Schizosaccharomyces pombe: one gene and its partner. The gene in region 1 interacts genetically with each later gene. Each region holds a gene or a part of one and is shown on either strand. Other genes may lie near its edges.

Region 1 (3,776 bases):
ACGCTTAACAACGGCACAGGCAAAACATTGACCAAAGTAGGTGTCATTGTCAACGGTAGAGGAAATAAGGCCGTTGGTAAGAAGTTGTTGAATCATGTCTTCAGTGTAGTAGGTGCGATCAGTGGAAATGTTAGTGAAGTAGTTGTAAGGAACGTTGGGAAGATAGATAACCAAAGGAGGAGTGTCACGGGTAACAGTGTGGTTACCAGCAGTGGTGTTACGACCATCACAACCAAAGAAGACAGGGCGATCGTTGAAGTGAAGACTGACAAAGGATTGTTGGCTAGGAACGTAGGGGAAACCCTTAACATTGGTGTTTCCGGCAGCTTGGGCAGCAACGACACGCTCATAAGTTTGGACAAGAGAGTTACCGTTGGGCCAGAGCCATTCACTGTCATCACCATTGTCAACGGCAACGATAACATCGACATCACGACCCTTTTGCAACAAAGGCCACAAAGGAATCTTCTCACCAGTAAGGAAGGTATCAACTAAGTTAAGGGAAGAGCTGGAACCCAAGTTGTTGGCAGCATCAGAATTAGCACTCTCAACACCTTGGAAGGGGTTGGGAATGGAGATGATTTGTTGACCGTTTTCAGAAAAGTTACCTTTCAAGTATTGTTGGATGATACGACCGTTCTTGGTAGAAGAGTCATTGAAGTTACGCATTATCTTGTTGAAGTAAGTAGAAGAAGCACCCATCATGAAACCAAAGTTGTCATAGTTGATAACGCAAGAACCATTGCTGCTAGCACCATTGTTTAAGGTAGTACCCAAGTATTCGGTAGGAATAAAGGAGTTGATTCCATGGTCAAAGGTACCGAAAACGTTGGGGGAAGCTTCAAAGAAAGTAGTGTTAACATTGCTAATATCCTCACCATAGTTTTGGGTAGCAAAGGTAATGATGGGGTAAGGGAAGTTGGCATTGCGGTACCATTCTTGGGAAGTAATACTAGACAAAGAGACATTAGGGAAACCATAAGTAGTGTCACCAAGGGTACGAGAAATCACACGTCCCCAGTAATCGGAAAGACTGATGTTAAAGCCAGCATTGGCCTTTTCGGCAACTTCATTCATAATAGAACTGTAGAAATGAGCGTTGAAAACAATAGCACTCTTGGGATACATCAAAGGGTGGTTGAAAGCCCAAAGTTTGCTAAAGTCGTTAATGGTACTGAAATTGTTGAGAGCAATGCCACCAACAGTCCAGGCACTACCATCAGTACCAACGAGATAGTCAGAGGCTTGAAGGAGACCAGTCAAAACAGTGTGGTTGTCGTGACGAGCATCCATGGCAGAGAGGGCACCAGAACCCAAAATCATGGCACGTAAACCACCACCGGACAAGGCAATACCGATAGAAGGACCTTCAGAGCCAGAAAGAGTATCGGCATTCAAACCAGGCAAGTTGGCGTTACGAAGGAAGTCCTTCATGGCAGTGTTGGTAATAGTAGAACGAGTGCTCAAGTATTCAGACTCGGCGCTAGGAATCTCATTGCTGGAGAGACTCTCGACAATGTTATCAGAGGGACAGTCCACATAATAAGGAGCGTAACTGGGTCCCTCTTGCTTAGTGCTATGCTTCTTGGCACGCTTGAAGACCTTGACAGAACCATCGTCTTCAGCAGCGGGAAGAGCAAGGGCAGAAAGGCAGGATGCCAAAAAGAGCATCCACAGGCTTAATCCGCGGAAAAGCATTTTGAATATTTAAACTAAAATGTTGAGAATAGATATGCAAAGATGTATGCAAATTAAATCCCCAAATGAACGTTCAAAGTTGGGAGTGGGACGGAAAGGGTATATAAGAAAAAAAATTTAATAAACGTCACACGAGTGTATTACTTTCCGAATGACACCCAATCAAGATCTCGGACTGATACTATTCCGTAAGTCGGAGAGGAAAAAGTGGTAAAGTAACAAAAACCTAGAATTTGCAAATAGTGGACGAAAACACAAACCCCACAATAGATAGAACTAAAGAAGGCAGGAAAACGGGACTAAAAACAAAATGAAAGAACCTGGCAAACGAAGTTTAATGCAAAGGTTCAAAATGAATAAAATCTTTTCCCTAAAGGATAAATAATAAATATTCAAAAGGAAGATGTAGGAAAGTGCTAAAAGTACAACGATTTAAAAAGTCCACGACGACCTTTTTTTGTTTGAGTGAGTAATAAGAAAGAGAAAATTAAAAAGGAATAACGACGAGAAAACCGGAAATCGCACCAAAGGATACACTAGGAAAGAAAAGTGTGATGATGATACGAGAAATTATGATGAAGGAATGAGGGAATCACTGAAAAAAGAAATTAAGCCAAATCACAGTGTTGGATCGTAAAATATGTTTTTGGATTCAACTAATGCGAAAACGCTCTCTAACCGAAAGAGTGTTAGTGTTTTCTTTTTTGGGGTATTTTTCAAAGAGCTAAGAAAAAGGGAGCAATCACAAGAAAGGAAAATGCAAAATTCCTCGCTTGGATGGATTAAGATTTAAATAAAAGTAAGGAAGATGATTAGGGATTCCAAAAAACGGAATTTTTTGTTTTGAAACAATGAACAGATCAAGGAAAGTTGTTTGATTGCGATGGTGGTGAAAATGCCTGTGCACCAGCACCACTTATATACCTGGGACCAGTCGCTCGGAACAAGGTTTCAGTGCATACAGTCTATAATTTTACATGGATTATACAAAGAAAAATAAAATAAATCATTTTATGTATTTTATTTTCAAGTTTTTGATTCTCATTTTTTTGACTTCAACTTGCATCTACCCCACAATCTTGACAGAATCCATGTCTGGGGCCCCGTGAGTACCGGCAACTGACCCTCTAAAAATTAGGAAGCAACTGCAACATTGGTCCAGAGCTGCGACGATGTATCCAAGCAACTGGAGTAATAGTGGGATAGAGTTATCATCAAAATAACGCTGCCCACAAGAAAGGATGGGATGTTTGTCTACTGGCAAAAGGTACACTGGGGAAAAATACAAACACTCTACTCACCGTTTAAACCCTTCTATACTACCGCTGGTCAGACAAGCTTCTAATTTTTTTACGGATTCTGTTGTAAATTGTTAGAATTCTTGTTTTTTCTTCGTTGTTCGTCAGTTTAACCCCGCCAAAACCCAAAAAAAAGTGTTTGAAACACTATTCTAAAGGTGTTCGCCCCTCACCATTCCGGTAAGAAATCAGGCAAGTATCCGCTCAAAAGTTTGGCGGGGAAGAAGGAAAAGAGCCTAAAGTCGGACGAACAAATGCGGGGTGGTGTAGAGGAACGCAGTCTAGAACAATGGAGGAACACATGCGCAGTGCAAAAATGTCTACCGCAAGAGCAAGAAAATTTTCGCACCAATTATTAGTTAAATGAGGAGCATCACATGAAAAAGTGGGACATATCCAATCACCTCTCAGTATTTTGTTCACTTTGCTCCCCTCGTTTTCCCATAGTGTGGAGAACATTCATGAAAACCAAACCTTCCGCCAATCAAATTACGGTTTGAAAAATTCTACGTTTCTATTCGCCGTCATTCGGAACAAGCGAGCTTCCACCTTTTACGTTGACATCATTGAAAAATGGAGATAATGGGGTTAAGGAAAGTGTGGGGCTAACCTTCCAAGTTACCTTTCCCTCCATGACGTGGAGTACATTTAGGCTCGTAAACTAACGTGCGTACGTTGGACTAGCTATGCTGCACGCTATTTGTCAAAAAAGGATTTGCAGCATGCGAGCGAAAGTCAACGAAGACGTGTATGCGAGGAAACCGGTGTGGAACAGTGTTC
Region 2 (3,745 bases), on another chromosome or scaffold:
GGAAAATGGAATGAATAAATAAATAGAATTGACGACAATTTTAGTAGTGAAAGCGGTTAGAAGGGAGGAAAAGGATTAGAAAGAAAAAGTAGAAAGCGTATTATGAAGTATTATTTTGAAGATTGAAGAATGCATTTTCTAAGTTGCTTGAGTTTACTTTATTAGGGATTGTATTGCACTTGCACTTGGGATCAGGAGTAGGATTGGCATTAGGATTAGAATAGGATTTGGGATTCCTCTTTGATCAAAAATAAATAAAAAATAAAAAATTAGAAAACTTCTAGTGCTCTCGCCAGAACTAGAACTTTTTCATGCAACGGAACGAGATGAACGGAGAAATGCGGAACCAAGATGAAGCAAGACAACAAGTCGATTAACAATGAAAGAAAAAAATATCAATATAGTCGGAAAACAAAAAGATGATTGATTAATAAGGAAAGTATGAGAAGGAGGCGGTAATTTTGCAAGCGTTTCAATTGCAATGATATTACAAATTCAAAGTAATAAAATGATAAACATACATAAACAAAAATAAACATAAATTAAAAAATAAAAAAATAAAAAATCGAAAACCAAAAAAAAAAAAATTTATTAAAAAAAAAAAAAAAAGACAAGAACAAACAAACAAGCAGATAGGGAAGTGGAAAATTACAAATAAAATTTAAAAAAACAGGGGAAGAAAAGTCAAATCAAGGTAGAGATGAATGATTCATCATGTTAGCGTTTGACAAATTAAAGATCAAAGAATTTATTAGAGATGATAAACAAGGGCAGAGCTGATTAGATGAAAGAACGATGGAGAGAAAAGAGAGAGGAGAGAAGATTAAAGAGAGAGAAAAGAAAAAAAAAAGAAAGAAATTAAAAAAAAAAAAAAAAAAAAAAAAAAAAAAAGGAAAATTAAATGAATATCCTCTTTTTTGCATGTCTCTTTCTCTTCTCTCTCTCTTCCTTCTTTTCTCCCTCCTTCTCTCTCTCCCTGCCTTCCTTTCACATACGAATATTAAACTACTTCCATGTATCCGAACGGGATCGTCGCAGGACACTATGGATAGGCCGGACGAAACAAAAGAAAAGGAAAAAGAAGAAAAACAACCGTCATAACAAGGATGAGGAGCCGATCGAACGACAAAACATTATCAAAGCGATTCCAGAGATTCCTTTAATAGCAATTTATCAACTAGCACAAATCATAGTTGCACATAACATATATCAACTAAGCACACAACATATTCCATACTAGCTAGCATATCATATATTATACTACCACATACCCTACCCTACCCTACCCTACCTCCTGCGAAACCAAGCCATATCAATAATGCCTTTTGCCTTTGACTTTGAAACGTCAAAAACAATGGAAAATTGAAATTTTTTTTTTCTGTTTTTTTGAATGAATGAATGAATAAACTGTTGAAGTATATTTTCATAGCATCTCTTTTTTTATTTTTTATTTTTTTTATTTTTCATCTTTCTATTTCCATTTCCATTTCTATTTCTACTTCTACTTGTTTTCTTCTTTCTCTCCTTTCTACTGTCTTTTTTCTCTCTCTTTAATCTTCTCTCCTCTCTCTCTACTTTTGTCTTTGTCATTGTCATTGCCTTGTTGCTCGCCCGCCGAAACAGCTCTTGTCACCTTTACACCACCCTTACATCGTTACCCATTCTAAACTCTGTTCGGTTGATTTCGGTTACAGAGTCGTCCGATTGGTTAAGGAATTTGTTCTTTTATCGTTAAATACCCTTATCTCGTTACCTATTGCCCACTAAAGCTTTAAGTTAATCTCTTTACATAATCATTGCTCGCCTTTGGTCCAATCATTGCGTCGGATATAGATCTCTGCTTATCTCGATCGTTACTTTGAACCAATCATTAAAAATATTGCTGTCCAATTGCGTCCTTGCATTTTTGCCGTTATCAAACTTGATAACCACCAGATTTTAGGGATGCTTAGAATCTGCGCGCATATAAAACCGCCGACTCTCTCCCCTACCGTACGGTTGAGACGCGGATAACCAACGTTGGCCTATTTCACCCTGCACCTTAAATCTAACGATATTCCAACCTTAGAGCATATCTTGACGCCTGACTTGCAGTGCATCTCTTTAACTTGAATTTTACGCATTTCTTGCTCTTGTGCGTGCATATTTGCTAGCTAGGTAGTTTACAAATTCAAATTTCTCTATATTTGTTTTTGTTTTATTCTTTCATTCATACTTCCAGTCTGTTGGATTCGCTGGTTCAATTTTTGTTCTCGTTGTTGATACGTGCATTTACATTTACATCTGCTTCTGCTTTAGCGTGCATTTGTTTATTTTATCGTCATCGGTTTTTGGGTGGTTGATACAGTTTTCTTTTTTTTGTTTTGTAATAGAAGAAAGAAAAAAATTTGAAAAACAAAAATAATTCAAAGTTCAAAGGAAAAGAAGAATAATTTAATTCCTTTTTTTTTTCTCTTTATTAATTTTACTTATTTTCTCGAAATTTGATTTTTCTTCTTTTCGAGTGTTTTTCTTCTTCTTTTCTCCCCAATATTCAAATATCGATCCCCTAATTTCTTCTTGGTCGTTCGATATATATATAATTTGTTGTGTTTTCTTTTTATCGTTTGGGTCCTTGATTTCCTAGGTGTTTTTTTTTTTTTGTCTCTATAGAAAAATTCCTTCCATTTATACATACCTTATTAGTCTCGATACTATTTTATTTTACTTTTACTTTTCTTCTTTTCGCCAACAAACCTCTTTTGTTTGTAATTTTTTTAATCCCCTTTATTTTGGGTTGTGTTGGTCTCTCTTCATTTCTTAATAGATAGACAAGACTTCTTGAATCATGTCTTCCACTACCGATGCCACTCCCACCCCTTCGGGTGTCAATGGCGGTGATTCCATGACCGTCAATCTTAATCAATTTTACAATAATGGTGATGTTGCCTGGATTCTCACAAGTACCGCTTTGGTGTTTATCATGATTCCCGGTGTCGGTTTCTTTTACTCCGGCTTGGCTCGTCGTAGAAGTGCCATTTCTATGCTGTTTTTGTCAATGATGTCTGTCGCCATTGTTGCCTTTCAGTGGTTCTTTTGGGGTTATTCGCTTACTTTCTCTCACGAGGGTGGTCCATACATCGGATCCCTCGCCAATTTCGGTCTTCGCCAAACGTTGGGTAGACCTTCTTCCGGTGCTTCCAGTGTACCCGACATCTTGTTTTGCGTGTTCCAAGGTATGTTTGCCGCCATTACTCCCGCTTTGGCTATCGGTGCTGCCGCTGATCGCGGTCGCATGTTTCCCTGTATGGTCTTCATGTTTCTCTGGACTTCCATCGTCTACGACCCAATCGCCTTTTGGACTTGGAATCCTAATGGTTGGTTGAACAAGTTGGGCTCTTACGATTTCGCTGGTGGCTCTCCCGTTCACATCTCCTCCGGTATGGCTGCTTTGGCTTATTCCATCGTAATTGGAAAGCGTTGTGACCATGGTACTACCAAATATCGCCCACACAACGTTCCCCACGTCGTTCTTGGCACCGTATTTTTGTGGTTTGGTTGGTTCGGCTTTAACGGTGGTTCTTCCGCTGCTGCCAACATGCGTGGTGTCATGGCTGTCGTCGTTACACATCTTGCTGCTTCTGTTGGTGGTATTGTTTGGTGTGTTATCGATTTTGCCAAGAACCGTCACTGGTCTGTCGTCGGCTTCTGTGAAGGTGCCGTCGCTGGTTTGGTCGCCATTACTCCTGGCTCCGGTTTCGTTCCT

What was found.
Region 2: mutations in plb1 (region 1) and amt1 together harm fitness more than expected from each alone (negative genetic interaction), as found in Schizosaccharomyces pombe (one large-scale study listed by BioGRID).

The regions. Positions count from the first base shown.
Region 1 is NC_003424.3:1,074,921-1,078,696, forward strand, and holds the start of plb1 (lysophospholipase 1), read right to left. Parts: upstream 1,774-3,776; 5' UTR 1,699-1,773; coding exon 1-1,698. UniProt on the Schizosaccharomyces pombe protein: Catalyzes the release of fatty acids from lysophospholipids. Required for survival under high osmolarity, for normal osmotic stress-induced gene expression, and for nutrient-mediated repression of sexual differentiation.
Region 2 is NC_003421.2:2,066,979-2,070,723, forward strand, and holds the start of amt1 (plasma membrane ammonium transmembrane transporter Amt1), read left to right. Parts: upstream 1-2,000; 5' UTR 2,001-2,827; coding exon 2,828-3,745. UniProt on the Schizosaccharomyces pombe protein: Transporter for ammonium to use as a nitrogen source. Under ammonium limitation acts as an ammonium sensor, generating a signal that leads to pseudohyphal growth.